3 linked regions of the Nothobranchius furzeri genome follow. The protein of the gene in region 3 purifies or fractionates together with the protein of the main gene of each other region. This does not show direct contact. Links are inferred from orthologs where the notes say so. Each region holds a gene or a part of one and is shown on either strand. Other genes may lie near its edges.

Region 1 (5,103 bases), on a different chromosome or scaffold from region 3:
TGCCCTGACCATACGAGTCTGTTGTTTTTTTCCTCTGCAGTGGTAACCTGGATAAGCAGACGGAGTGGGGGAACACCGCCCTGCATTACTGCTGCATGTACGAGAAGCCCGAGTGCCTCAAGTTGCTACTGAGGGGCAAACCGGCCACAGACATCAGTGAGTCAGGGTTCAGCCACCCATAAGCACAAATCACGGTGTTTTATTTTCTACATATATTTTTTTTTCTCCCTTTTTTCATTTCAGCCAATCAGAATGGAGAGACGGCTCTGGATGTTGCCAGGCGACTGAGGAACAGTCAGTGTGAGGAGGCAGTAAGTTACAGGAGGCCGAGTGGCCGGATCTGACCAGAATGAGCCCTCCTGATTTAAAAACACGGACTAAATTACAGAAAGTGGAGGCTTCAAACGCTTTTGAAGCTGCAGCTGTTTGATGGGACGAGTGTGGATGAGTCTGAACACTAGATGGCAGCGGAGCTGCTGTCTCCATCCAGAAGGGACAGGAGCAGCCAAGTGGAAGGAATTGTTCATGTGTGTTTGTTATTAACGCAGATCTGAACAAGCAGAACCAACGGGGACAAAAATAAATCTAGTTTAGAGGGATTGAGCTTTGAAATCCTATCATAGTTTGCTTTTGCCATCTTGTTGTAGTTTCCCATAACAAGAGCAGCTTATAGATAGTTTTGTTGTCTCTTTCAGCTTGTCCAGGCTGCAGAGGGGAAGTTCAACCCTCACATCCATGTGGAGTATGAGTGGAGCCTCCGCCTGGAGGAGATGGACGAGAGTGATGACGACCTGGATGATAAGGTGCCTAAGCTGCTGAAATTTGCCCCCGGATTTAGAAAAACTTGTGAATTTTAAACAAAAAAAGGCAGCATTTAAGAAGATCCAGTAAAAAGTCACCCTGATGACCTTTTCTTCTGCCGTTCTGCTGGTGGATTATTGGATTTCAGTGAGAGCTAATCTCTGTAGCTTCACTTGCTGGAGGAGAGCTAGTATTCATTGTCTCTAATGTTCATCAAGTTAACAGCTGTTCTAGCCAAGACTGGCTGTGCATGCAAGAAAAACAAAGCATTATTTTTACTCTCTTTATAAAGTTGATGTACAACTGAATATGAGCTGTTTTCGCTTTAAAGGTGCAGTATGTAAAAATATTGTGAGAATTTTACAGCAAGAAAATCCCAAAGGTGCTTTTATAAGACACACCATGCCGGTAAATGGGCGTAATATTACCGCAATGGTATGTCTGCGTGGCTGCGTGAATTTTGCGGCATTCGTTCCGCCTCGCTTGGTAGTAATATTGCGGTAATGGTCTGTCGTATGCGCCCCGGCGCAACAGAGGCAGATGTCATGATGACGTGGGGAGTTATTGCTGAGCTCCGGCTGGCAAATCTATTGAAAATGAAAGTAAACACAGGCAATAAGGTTTGCTTTTTGTGCAAAATCAGCTGAGATGGCAAACTGGAGCGCCGCAGCGCTCCATGAGCCTTTTTGTTAGAGCTGAAGCTCAGATCACCAGAGACTGCACAGGGACTGATGGGGACAGACACCTTTAGGAGCTGCTTGTTAAATAAAGGTAACGATCACGGCTTCAATCGCAATAAAAAGCAAGTTATGTCCAAGATAAACGGAAGCCTGCGGCAGCGCAGAGCCCAGCCCCATACCCCCTTTATGCCGCCATCACCTAATCTTTTATAAAATTGCCACGATTGCGCCACATTACCGCCATGGTCTGATCTTATAAACAGCCTTTATCCTCCCTAGAGAGCCGCGGCAAATCCTGTATTGAAAATGCTATGGTCCTGTAAAAACAGCTCAAAACAGTCAAATGTTTCAGTCATGAAGCATGTTTCATATCCAGTTGGCTGCGGGGATTGTCAGTTTTTCCTCCTTTCCAAACAAAGGAAGGAGGGACGTCAGGGTTTCCCCCAGCGCCGCCAGGCTTTGCTTGGCCACCCGCTAGGCTAAGAGTCATGCCCCGCCCCCCTCCCCGACCCTACCGTGTCCGCTGACACGAACGGCGCAACGAAACTAGAGCCCCCCCATCACCTGATACTGTTGAGAAACAGCAGCAGAACGTGTGCAATCACCCCCGCTGTCACAGAGGAGCGCTGCGAGATGGAGCGCGCGATCCCCCCCTTCCCCGACGGCCGAATCCGCCAGGGTTAACTAATTTTCTGGGGGAAACCCTGGACGTAACTATTGTTTACCATCAGTGAGTGTGGGGTTGCCGTGTCCCCTGCAAGCTAATGCTGCAGCGCTGACAATTGTAATTTGACAATGGCCGGCAAACAGCTCCAGAGTTGTTTAAATTGGTGGCAGTTACTAAATTTTACCACAGGACGTAATTTTTACTTCATTTCGACACAATGCACCTTTAATGCAGAAATTTTAGGGCAAACAGATTTCTTAAAAAAAAAAAAAACTTTTTTTCTCCAGTATCCAGAGATTTGCTGCTCGTTATTTTTGTCAATAAAGATTTAAGTTGCTTCTTTGCCAAAAATGTGTAGAAAAAGTAAATTTTTCTACCTTGATTTTCAGAAATGTGCAGAAACCACATTGGGGGGCTGTTAGCTTGAGTCAGGTTTAGCTTTAAACGTCAAGAAGCTGTACACACGGGCATTTAAAACTGATGTTGTATTATTGAGTTAATATTTTGCAGTAACTTCATTGACTTGTTGAAAACGTTTTGAACTGGGAAGTGGCTTAAACTTTAGCGAAAGTCAAAAGCAGAGGCATGTGGCTCCAATGACACTCTTAGGCTTTTTCATGTCTAAATTTGAGAAGAAAACAAGATATTGATTTAAAAATGGAAGAAACAAGCATCAAAATGTTTCTTTGTGCTGAAGAAGAGCCTCCCTTCAGGTTTGTTTGTTTGTTCTTATTAAGATCCCCATTAGCCACTGTTAAAACAGTTGCTATTCTTCCTGGGGTCATATTATCATCATCAAATAAACATAAGGAATGCATCAACACTGGGCTCACAAGCAAACTATCCATTTTCATCTACAATATTCATATCCACTATAATGTAAAGGATGGGTAGTTTACATCTTACTTATGAACCATAAAATGTGAGATTCCATAGAAATATGAAATATCAATCTGATGGATCTTTGAATATTTTAACCAAAAGATCAGAACTTTTTATTGCAGGGATTAAACGACACTTCGTATTAACTCCAAGGAAAGAGAGAGAGTCAGGTTTAAAATAGTTAAGAAATTTATTTCTACACAATTTAATCAAGGCTAACTTTAACACTCTGTGTACTGATGGACTAAGGTGGGGTGAGACGTGATGAATGATGATGGTGTGTGTGTGTAATGTTATTCAGAACCAGCGGATCCGGAGAAGCAGTTAGTTCTGAGTAGGAGTGAATGTTTCGCTCTAAACTTTAGTAGGAGATTTATAACACACATGAAACGCCATCTGTCGGTCTACATACCCAGGGGAAGCCTCCGATCAGATCCAGAATGCCGAGGTCCTTGTGGACCCTCTTTGGTACCGAAGCCAGTAGAAAAGCAGCGGTGCTGACCAAACCAGTCTTGGAATGCTTCCAGGTCACGACAGGTTATCACTGGCGTCTCCGAGACCCTGAAGGGGTCGTGAGGTTCAGCTTTTATTCTGAAGGAACCGTTGCGGTCAGGTGTAACTTCCAACAGATTTTATCAAGCTTGTCTGAGGTTCTTTATGGCTGAAGAGGAAGTCCGCATGGCCTGTCCGAGACTCCTCTAGAACACTTTGAACTAAAGAAAAGGCGGCGTTGAATAGTCTTTATAATTGTCATATTTTGGTTTACTGGCGAATCAGAATTTGACATGCAAAAAGAGGGTTTATACAAACACCACAGAAAACCACACCTCATGCCAGAAACAAAGGTTCTGATTGGATCAGACAAAAGGAAATGTGTCGTGTGACTTTAGCATTATGTGTCCTTAGTGTCTAGTGCAAATGTCCAGGATTATTATTACTTGTAAAATACTACTGATCACAGGATTATAATATCAAGTAATAACATTGTCATTTCACAGATTGATTGAACATTGGGCTCACATTATTATTGGTAATTAACAAAGTTGTTGATTATGTGTTTATCAAAAGAGTGTTCTTCGTCTTGAGCTGTAACAGAGGTGAAGCAGTTCGAGAGGGTGCTCGCTGCAGAACTACAAAGGCGGAGCTGCACCATAAGGTGGAGCTGCACCAGAGTCAGCCCCGCCCATTCACGCAAACTCAGCCTAGCCCACTGACTTCCGTTTTTGTTTTCAACTTTATCGCAAACTGACCTGACCCACATGAATTACGGCTGTTACTAGTTTACAGTCGTTAATGCTATGTTCTATGCTCCAATTAAACAAGATAAATATAACTTGCTACATGACAAAGTCTGAATATATCCCGAAATAAAAAAGTTTCTCTTAGCGAATATCTGCCCACAGCCGCTCTAATAAAACTCCTGTACAACAGCATGTACCATCACCATGTGGGTTCTGTTAGTCCAGTGGCAAGATCGTTTGAGTTAAGTTTTGCTTTCCCCTCAGCTGATGCTGGTTCGATTCTCGGTGGGGTCGGCAACAATCTATTTAGCCAGCTGAAACATTGAATTTGTTCATATTTTAGTTGTAATGTTCATTTTCAGCAAAATATTTATGTCTCTACAAGTTCTTTGAATTTGGTCGTTCCTAAACAGCATTTTAGTTGAAACTCTGCTCACAGATGGACTCACACTGGCTAAATAAACGAATGAATAAATAAAAAAAACACATTAGTCATTATATGTTAAACGGCATACCAATAAATTGTTGTAAACATAGTACTGGCAAGTGTAGCTAGAAATGAGGAAAAGAGATTATAGGATATTTCCACTGCTGGGAGGCGAACCCGCGCAAAACTGCATGTCAACCTGACACCATCACCACTACACCACCATATCTGATAAACACTAGGTGGCGTTACATTTTATTATGCTATTTAGTGTGTCTTTGGAGATGGGATGTATGGTTTATTGGCGGTGTCTCAGTAGAAGTCATTTCAGAAATAATTTGTCAGAAAATTCACAGAATATCCAGATTTGAGAACCAAAACCAGACCCGCTTCGGGGGAGGAGAC
Region 2 (5,103 bases), on a different chromosome or scaffold from region 3:
TTTATTACGTTTAATTTTGATATTTATAGGTGACAACCAATGAAAACATCAAATCTGGTATCTCAGAAAATTAGAATATTCTAAAGGCCAATGAAAAAATGTTTGTTTCTCTAATGTTGGCCAACTGAAAAGAATGAACATGAAAAGAATGTGCATGTATAGCACTCAATACTTAGTCGGGGCTCCTTTTGCCTCAATAACTGCAGTAATGCGGCGTGGCATGGACTCGATCAGTCTGTGGCACTGCTCAGGTGTTATGAGAGCCCAGGTTGCTCTGATAGTCGTCTTCAGCTCCTCTGCATTGTTGGGTCTAGCGTATTGCTTCCTCCGCTTCACAATACCCCATAGATTTTCTATGGGGTTAAGGTCAGGCGAGTTTGCTGGCCAATCAAGGACAGGGATACCATGGTCCTTGAACCAGGTGCTGGTGGTTTTGGCACTGTGTGCAGGTGCCAAGTCCTGTTGAAAGGTGAAGTCTGCATCCCCATAAAGTTGGTCAGCAGCAGGAAGCATGAAGTGCTCTAAAACTTCCTGGTAGACGGCTGCATTGACCCTGGACCTCAGGAAACAGAGTGGGCCAACACCGGCAGATGACATGGCACCCCACACCATCACTGACGGTGGAAACTTTACACTGGACCTCATGCAACGTGGATTCTGTGCTTCTCCGCTCTTCCTCCAGACTCTGGGTCCTTGATTTCCAAAGGAAATGCAGAACTTGCTTTCATCAGAAAACATAACTTTGGACCACTCAGCATCAGTCCAGTCCTTTTTGTCCTTGGCCCAGGCGAGACGCTTCTTGCGCTGTTTCATGTTCAAGAGTGGCTTGACACACGGAATGCGACACCTGAATCCCATGTCTTTCATGAGTCTCCTCATGGTGGTTCTTGAAGCGCTGACTCCAGCTGCAGTCCACTCTTTGTGGATCTCTCCCACATTTTTGAATGGGTTTGTCGTCACAATTCTCTGCAGGGTGCGGTTATCCCTAGAGCTTGTACACTTTTTTCTACCACATTTTTTCCGTCCCTTCGCCTGTCTGTTAATGTGCTTGGACACAGAGCTCTGCGAACAGCCAGCTTCTTTAGCAATCACCTTTTGTGTCTTGCCCTCCTTGTGCAAGGTGTCAATGATTGTCTTTTGGACAGCTGTTAAGTCAGAAGTCTTCCCCATGATTGTGGTGCCTTCAAAACAAGACTGAGGGACCTTTTAAAGGCCTTTGCAGGTGTTTTGAGTAAATCAGCTGATTAGAGTGGCAGCAGGTGTCTTCTATATTCAGCCTTTTCAGAATATTCTAATTTTTTGAGATACCAAATTTGGAGTTTTCATTAGTTGTCACTTATGAATATCAAATTTAAATGTAATGAACATTGGAAATACATTGGTCTGTGTGCATTGCATGAATATAATGTACAAGTTTCACGTTTTGAATGGAATTACTGAAATATTTTCAACCTTTTGATGATATTCTAATTTACTGGCCAGCACCTGTATGTGTATCTGTGTGTGGCTGTGTGTATCTGTGTGTGGCTGTGTGTATCTGTGTGTGTCTGTGTGTATCTGTGTGTGGCTGTGTGCATCTGTGTGTATCTGTGTGTATCTGTGTGTGTCTATGTGTATCTGTGTGTGGCTGTGTGCGGCTGTGTGTATCTGTGTGTGGCTGTGTGCATCTGTGTGCATCTGTGTGTGTCTGTGTGTGTCTGTGTGTATCTGTGTGTGTCTATGTGTATCTGTGTGTGGCTGTGTGCATCTGTGTGTATCTGTGTGTGGCTGTGTGCATCTGTGTGCGGCTGTGTGTGTCTGTGTGTGTCTGTGTGTGTCTGTGTGTGTCTGTGTGTATCTGTGTGTGTCTGTGTGTGTGGCTGTGTGTAACCTGGGCACTAATTCTCGTGTCACATGGCTAATCAAATTTACCTGTGGGTATTAATAAAGTGACCTTGAACCTTGAGGAAGACGCCAGAACGGGGTTAGGCTGGTGGCTTCCTACGGCTTTTAGGTGTACAGAAATAATCTCTCGGCTGATTTTACCTCGAAGTCCTTTGTTGTACATTTTAAGCTGTTATTTGTGTTCGTTAACTTCTCACTTATTTTAGGAAGCATCGGGGTGAACCAGCATGCCTAAAATCCCAGTATGGTACGGTCCGTGGTCACAGCTCGGTTTGCTGAGGGAGCAAACGGGTACGGCTTTAACGACATTCAAAATAAAACTAAATTCTCCTACAAAATATTCATAAAATGTATAAAGTACAAACAAATCATCGTTTTTATAAACTAGAAGCGATCCAGATCAGAGTTGAGCTTCAGGCGACAGGATTAAGTGTCTTATTTCCTGATATTTACACATCTCTCATCTGATTGGCTAACCGCAACACAACTACCGCTGACTAAGTTCGCTCTGCAACGTTGATGTTTTATCTCCACAAACAAGCCTGGAGGAGTTCTGCTGTGTGGTGGAGTTGCTAATGCTAACAGTTAGCTTCTACTAGCTGAGACGTTCTCTGCTGTTTCCTGGACGCTAAACCACCAACAGTCTTCCCCGCCGTGAGTGCAGATAGGTGAGTCCATGAATGTTAGTGACAGGGTGAATTGATCTGTCAAGATTTTCTACTCCTATTTTCTATCAGAAGCTAATCCAGGAGGTAGGTGTAGGAAACTATTTCATGTTCAGCCTGCATGTTAAACTCACAGTGAACCGTTCTAATTAGAAATATTCAATAAAAATTGTTTTCGGTGCTCCACACCTTTAATAACGTTCGTCTGTATTCATTAGGAAAGTCATTTCATTTATTATCTTCCTAAAGTTTTAAAACGCACAACAGCAGTTTATGAGCCAGAAAATTAAATGGGTGTATGTTGAGAATGTCAAATTATTCTGAAAGAAAATTGTAAAATAAAAAAAATTAATGATATTAAATATGTTTAACTCATACGCTGCCAGCGTTTCTCACCATTTTGACTGTTGTTTTAAGATGACAGAACGTTGCGCGCTAGGATGATGTCGACGCCAAAACAACCAAAACAAAGAGGAGACTCACCTCTTACATCAGGAAGAATCTGCGCGTTTCGAGCGTTATCCGTTCTTTCATAATCCGTTGTTGAATTGTGATCGGCAGACGCTTTTCCGGTTCGCTCCTCACTTTTTTTTTACAGCAGCAGCCCAGAACGATCTCCTAACACATGGATGTTCTGCTTCCTGATCACATGACGTGTGACGTACGCGGATGAAGATCGGCTTTAGAGCTGGGATGTTTGTTCTCACAGAGGCGGGGGCTCGTCCGACGCCCACACAGTAAAAACACGCAAATGACGACTAGTCGTCAATGGCAGTGAACGAGTTAATCTGAATTTTTAGGATTCAAAGGCATCTTTATGGACCAGAGAAATAACATGTTAACTGAAATGTTCATTATTAGACTATTTTAAAGGCAAAAGTACCTAAATTTAAAGGAGACACTGAGATTTTCTCTGAGGTCAACTAAAAATCACAAAAGTGAGATTTGAACCCTCAAACTTTTTTATATTTTTTCGTACGATTGACTGTTTAAGTTTGAGTGAATATAATTATATTTTCATGCTTCTTGTTTCTATATTTAGCCTGATCCCCTTATTACCCCGTTACCTGTGACCTGAAACAAACAGTGGGTGCGGACATTAGTAGTTACCTGGTGACCCATTCGCTATTTCATATTTCACAGAGAAAGCAAAGGAGGAAGAAAAGAAGGAAAATAAAAGTCAGTTAAGAAAGGCAGAAAAAGCAGGAGGGGAACATCTGCAGCAGATGTATGCTTTACTGCTGACCTTTCCGAGGAAGGACTTGTTGGCGGGATCTTCCTCCGTTTCGTCCTTCCCAGTACTCTGCTCCTCCGATGACTGGTTCAGTCGGCCGATGGCGGGTTTCTGAGCTACGGGCGGGGGGAGCGGCCGGCTTCCCATAGCGGCGTCGCTGCTGCTGATGGTGCTGCTGGATTGGGACTCGTAGCTCCGGGTGGAGTCGTTCCGAGTCTGGGTCCGCAACTAAACAACGGGCAAAGTTTGGGAATTTCAGACACTTGTTAAGTAGGTTTCCGTTAGTTTTCAGAAAACGCAGGACAAAAGATCATTTTATGTTGAGAAAAACAACCGACATAAATTCCCAGACGATTTGACTTTCAGCTACAACATATCTGTAAAACAAATATGGTCGACACGGTGTGAAAATTTTACCTCACGGTTATTGTGACCAAAATTACCACGGTTTTCGGTATTATCGCGGTATTTATTTTTTAAACGTGCTACATTTTCACAAAATTAAATAAACCCTGTATGTCAGGAAAATATTGTCCTCAGTTTGTGTCTAAATTTAGCCTAAAATGTGTTATTTTGTAATTATGTTGTTTATTTGTTTACATTTTTCCCTTTAGTCTTTAAAATACCAAGAATTGCCCATAACTTCTTATTTTTTGTCCGTTTGATGTCATCATTTTAAAAATATTAGACCAGATGATACTCAGTACTCCAGTAGCCTTCTAATCAGATACTTTTTTACCCTTACTTGAGTAATAAACCCTATATCAGGAAAATATCGTCCTTGGTTTGTGTCCTTCCAGTGAGCTTTGCAGATGTGGGAAAATGTCATCAGGCAGTAATCGTTGTTAAATACATAATTATTCTCGGAGAGAGACCAACTCTTATCTGCCCCTGGGAGCCCCGTAATGCATAGCGTCATTTCAGTATGGGGGTGCCCGTGACACGGTTTATATGCAGGTAGCGGCGCTGCGGCTGCTTTATACAGGTGCTGGCCAGTAAATTAGAATATCATCAAAAGGTTGAAAATATTTCAGTAATTCCATTCAAAACGTGAAACTTGTACATTATATTCATGCAATGCACACAGACCAATGTATTTCCAATGTTCATTACATTTAAATTTGATATTCATAAGTGACAACTAATGAAAACTCCAAATTTGGTATCTCAAAAAATTAGAATATTCTGAAAAGGCTGAATATAGAAGACACCTGCTGCCACTCTAATCAGCTGATTTACTCAAAACACCTGCAAAGGCCTTTAAAAGGTCCCTCAGTCTTGTTTTGAAGGCACCACAATCATGGGGAAGACTTCTGACTT
Region 3 (5,103 bases):
TGTTATTCGTTCTTTCATAATGCGTTGTTGAATTGTGATCGGCAGAAGCTTTTCCGGTTCGCGCCTCACTTTTTTTTACATCAGCGGCCCAACACAATCTCCTAACACGTGGATTTTCTGCTTCCTGATCACGTGACGTGTGCGGATGAAGATCGGCTTTAGAGCTGGGATGTTTGTTCGCACGGTGCGGGGGCTCGTTCCGATGCCCACACAGTAAAAACATGCAAATGACGACTTTAGTTGTCATTGGCAGTGAACGAGTTAACGGCTCTCAGTCATGGGGCAGGGTCTACGCTTGTCTTTCAAACTGTTCCCACATGCTATTGGATATAAAACGATGTGGCTCTCTCTCTCACTGCTACAAATAGGGATGGGTACCTTTGACATTTGAATCGATCCGGTACTAATTCCCGGTACCTACGAATCGATACCGGTACTTAACGGTACCAATTTTCGATACTTTTGAGTGTTTAATATTTTAATTCACTTAATTAAATACAAATTTTTCTCAATTTGTAACCATATTTGATCAATTTCACGATAAATAACATACAACTGTTTGTATTTTAACATAGTCCTTGTAGTTTTATAAGTTGATAATAAAACTGAAGCAAACATCTTTACTGTGAACTAAATTTACTGTATATCTTCATTCCTTTTGCCATCCTTTTTCATTTAATTTTTCCTACTGGGAAGTTAGAATTTCCGAGGAGAAAGCGAACGCACTATTAGCTGATAAAAATGGTGGCAATGGAAGCTAACATATCAAGCTAACGTTATCTTAAACAGTTTATTTAGTTGCTGAAGCAGATTAAAACGATGATGCCTCACACTTAGATCGTTGTCGCTGGTTTCATCTTCACCCAATCACCTGTCGCATTTAGTAAAGTGAAGCCAAACTTTAGTGCACGTTCATGTTCTTCTAGTCGGAAATTCGGAGTTCCGAGGAGAAAGCGAACGCACCATTAGCAGAACGGAAGCTAACATATCAAGCTAACATTATCTTAAACATTTTATTTACCTACCAGAGCAGATTAAGATGAGGATGTCTCACTTAGATCGTTGTCGCTGGTTTCATCATCACCCAGTTATGGGCTCGACACACGGGAGGTGACAAACGACCGCGATCAGCGAAATTTGTCGCTGTCGCTTTTATTACCTGACACACGGGAGGCGATCTGCGGCAGCGGCCAGCGGCAAAGCCGTCTACGCGTTCTGCTCCATGGCGAAATCGAAACTTCCATTGTTTTGCTTGGCTGTATCAGGTTGGAGAGAATTAAGGTTATTTAAGCGATTCAGAGTCAAAAAATTGGTAGATATGATGTTTCACAAGGTGCTGTTAGAGTTATGTGAAATCTTACTTCTGATTTTACTATATAAGACATAATAATAATCAACTTCTCCTCCATGTATGCTCGGAGGTGTACGGAGCATCCTGTTCGCTCATTGGTCAGTGAATGAAACCTCCTTTGATTGGTCCTCGTCCGAGCAACAGCGATGAAAAGTTGAAAATGTTTCGACATTCTGGGATCGCGTCGCTGGGTCGCCTGTGCACGACACGTGCACGAGCGCAAAATTTCACATGCACGTTTTTCGCATTTCGCTTGGTAGGAGGGAGACCCGCATGTCTCATTGAAAATGAATGGAGGAGAGGCGATGTCGCCTCCCGTGTGTCGAGCCCATTGGCGTGCGTTCTTTCTACCATGCTGCTCTGTTTACAACTCGCTCGCAGCGACCGACGACATAACATTCTTGCACATGTGCAGCTGTCTTGGCAAATTCTCGTTATGAAGGACGGGTACCGAAACGAGGCACCGTTTCAAATGACGTGAATCGGTGCTCAGTCGGTACTATGGAATTCGGTCGGTACCTTAAAAAGTACCGAATTCGGTACCCATCCCTAGCTACAAATGTCGGTCAACGAGGCAGTCCGCCATACGTTGTCAAAGGAGATGCAAATACGTCCTTTTTAAGTAGTTAAGTACATCTGTCTGCTCTTGACTGAATAGTCCAAAGTAGTTGCTAAAGGCATTTTAAATAAGCTGTGGCCATCTTTGTTTTTTCAGTAACATCCAGCCTACAGAGTGCTGTGATTGGCTCACCAACCCATTAGAGCACTGTGATTGGACCCCCACTGATGTTAGTCAGTGGGACGTCCGCCATTACATAGTGGAGGAACTACATAAAACCTGAAACAATGCATAATTTTTCTAAATAAGCGAGCTGTGATTGGTCAGCTACAATTCTGGCCGGGCTTGCGGAGGTTTCAATGGAACGTGCCTAGACCGACGTGCAAAGAAAAAATATTTTAGCTTCGGCAAATGACGGTCTAGATTCTAGGCTACAAATAATTTAAAAATTTAATAAATTCATTAAAAATAGTTTTATTTGTGCTATTTGTGTCAACCAAAATTAGGAAGTAGAGCTCTGCATGGGACTCTTTAACTCTTTCGCTGCCAGCTGTTTCCTGATTGGTAAAGCACTTCGCTGCCAGCTTTTCTCACCGTTTTTAATGTTTTGTTAAGAGTCACAGAACGTTGCACGCTAGGATGATGTCGACGCCAAAACAACCAAAACAAAGCAGAGACTCACCTCTTACATCAGGAAGAATCCGCGTGTTTTGAGCGTTATCCATTCTTTCATAATATGTTGTTGAATTGTGATCGGCAGAATCTTTTTCGGTTCGCGCCTCACGTTTTTTACAGCAGCGGCCTAAAACGATCTCCTAACACATGGGTTTTCTGCTTCCTGATCATGTGACATATGCAGATGAAGATCGGCTTTAGAGCTGAGATGTTTGTTCACACTGTGTGGGGGGCTCGTTCCGATGTCTACACAGTAAAAAACTGCAATTGACGACTTAAGTCGTCATTGGCAGTGAACGGTTGAATTTAAAATGACGACTTTAGTCGTCAATGGCAGTGAATGAGTTAAAAATCCTGCTCCTGCTGATTATGTCTGACGCACCCCCGCCTGCTCCTGTAGTATTTAAAAATTATGCACAGCTTTCCATATCTCAGGATTTACGTCCTTCCCTTTAGCTTTCTTCTCTTCCGTCATACTTTATTACCACCTTAATGTTTACTCTCCATTCTACCAACAGCATTGGGACTCACTGCCTGTCTTTAACGTGCTGCTCCAGCCAGCAGCAGTCTACACCCACCTGCTCTGTTTGGTGGGACACCAGTCCCAAAGCAGGGCTTTAGCAGGAAGCCTGGTTCATACCAGGAGACGTTTGGGTTTAAAGACAAATGTTTACAATCAGTTCAGTCCAGCAGTCTCTGAATCACATTCAGTAGATACCAGATAGCACCGGACGAGAAACATGCAGAAACCTCGAGCAGAACCAGGATAAAAGTGGGCGGCTCTCTGGCTTGATCTTCTAATACAGAAGAGTTGGTCCAGTCATCATTTTTATGGAACAAAGTATCATCTTCCCCCTGAAACAGGAGCGCCAGAGCTTTTGTTCCACATAAAACAGCTCACAAAGCATTCATTCATACTAGAGACCACAGCAGATTAATGTAAGATGAACAAATGATGTGCAAACACAATCTGTAAGAAACATTCAGATTAAAAACAAGTTCATTAATAACGACGCCCTTCTACATCATAAAAGTTGCATGGAAGGTTTTGTCACAGACTGACTCATATTTGAGTGGTTATTTGTTGTCCATCTCTGTCCTGCAGTATAAACACTCCCCACCTCAGCTATCTGGGAACGTCTCAAAGACTCAAAGCCTGGACCGTAAGATCGCGGAGCCCATCGTTTTAACAAAGTGGAGACACAGCGCCTACATCCAGGAGCCAAGCGAAAAGGTTTGACATCATCAAAGCACTCGCTAAGAAACCCGTTGTTTCCTCTTATTCCTGACCGTTGGTGTCCTGCCGGTGTGCAGACCAAGGACAGTGTCGCTGGCTGAGTTTGTTGAGTGTCAGATTTAGACTCATTCCTTTTGCAGCGGCTGATAAAAACCAGGCGTTTTCGCTCAGGCTCCACCCGGCCACACCCGTACAAACCCAAAGTCAGTAATCTGAACAGAACAAACCCAGTCGCCGTGCATGAGGAGAATCACACAGTGATAATTACATTTTTCTCCACAGTTTGCTGGTTGAGTTGATTGGTCCTTTAATCATTAATGACCTTAACAGGTTTTAAGCAACACAACAAATTAACCTGAAAACACTTTTCTGAATCTTTTGTTGATGAATGTTTGTGTTTCTACTAAAACCCACAGGTACTGAACAGCTGCTGCTTGAGCCTTACATCATCTTCTCTTCTACGTGTCTGTGACGATGTTGTTGTTCTGTCTCTTCATTAGGATGCTCCTCTGTCCCCAAAGCCCCCTTCTCCTGCCTCTGACTCGTGCTGTTCGTCTCCAAAGCCCCCCGCCTCTGTTAGTACTCACCACTAACGTCACACACTGCAGGGTTTATCCTCCTCTGGGGTTGTAAGGCACCGAATCAGGTTGCAGCATATTGCAGAGTTCCTGCACAGGACTGGAAATCCCGCAAACGATTAGATTAAATATTTTATAACAAAACTGGAGAAACCCAAACCAAACTGATGGAATCCTTTCTGTGTTGGAACAGTTCAGACGGATGTGATCTTTGCTGCTTGGTGTGAGCGTGTGTCTTTGAATCACTGAAGAGTTGTTTGATCTAATCTATGTGAATAATCTCTGCTGTCCTGAGTGGGAACAGTGGTTAAAGTGGTTTCATTTCCTCTCCTCTGAAAGCTGTTGTTGCTCTGGTTGTGGGAGTTTTGGTGACTTGCGTGGCTCTGCTGAACTGGTGGGGTTCCCGGGTTTGTTTTTAATGCCATCATCTGCTGCTTGTTTCTGTCTGCAGCCGTCTGAGAAGTGTGGCGTTCTGAATGTGACTAAGATCACTGAAAACGGCAAGAAAGTACGGTGAGTCAGACTTTTCTGTATTTAGGAGATAAAAGCTGTTTTCTCTGCACCGGCTGACATTGGGAGATGATGGGGGTGTAGCTACGAGCATACATGCACACCAAGGTTTAGCTCATTATCTGTAAACATGATTGACTTATGGACATATTTTGGTTGTCTTAACATCACCTGTAGTGGCCATCTTGAATCA

The links. Proteins that work in one complex are often made in the same cells at the same time.
Region 1: the proteins of arhgap12b (region 3) and asap1b purify together in Homo sapiens (co-immunoprecipitation; 3 studies listed by BioGRID and IntAct, with this or other methods). This does not show direct contact. The link is inferred for Nothobranchius furzeri from reciprocal best matches to the Homo sapiens genes ARHGAP12 and ASAP1.
Region 2: the proteins of arhgap12b (region 3) and tjp2a purify together in Homo sapiens (co-immunoprecipitation; 3 studies listed by BioGRID and IntAct, with this or other methods). This does not show direct contact. The link is inferred for Nothobranchius furzeri from reciprocal best matches to the Homo sapiens genes ARHGAP12 and TJP2.

Annotation. Positions count from the first base shown.
Region 1 is NC_091747.1:45,634,872-45,639,974, forward strand, and holds part of asap1b (arf-GAP with SH3 domain, ANK repeat and PH domain-containing protein 1), read left to right. Parts: intron 1-40; coding exon 41-156; intron 157-243; coding exon 244-311; intron 312-695; coding exon 696-803; intron 804-5,103. UniProt on the Homo sapiens protein: Possesses phosphatidylinositol 4,5-bisphosphate-dependent GTPase-activating protein activity for ARF1 (ADP ribosylation factor 1) and ARF5 and a lesser activity towards ARF6.
Region 2 is NC_091746.1:73,890,173-73,895,275, forward strand, and holds part of tjp2a (tight junction protein ZO-2a), read right to left. Parts: intron 4,012-5,103; coding exon 3,796-4,011; intron 3,675-3,795; coding exon 3,660-3,674; intron 1-3,659. UniProt on the Homo sapiens protein: Plays a role in tight junctions and adherens junctions. Acts as a positive regulator of RANKL-induced osteoclast differentiation, potentially via mediating downstream transcriptional activity.
Region 3 is NC_091751.1:39,416,954-39,422,056, reverse strand, and holds part of arhgap12b (rho GTPase-activating protein 12b), read left to right. Parts: intron 1-3,690; coding exon 3,691-3,819; intron 3,820-4,322; coding exon 4,323-4,397; intron 4,398-4,851; coding exon 4,852-4,913; intron 4,914-5,103. UniProt on the Homo sapiens protein: GTPase activator for the Rho-type GTPases by converting them to an inactive GDP-bound state.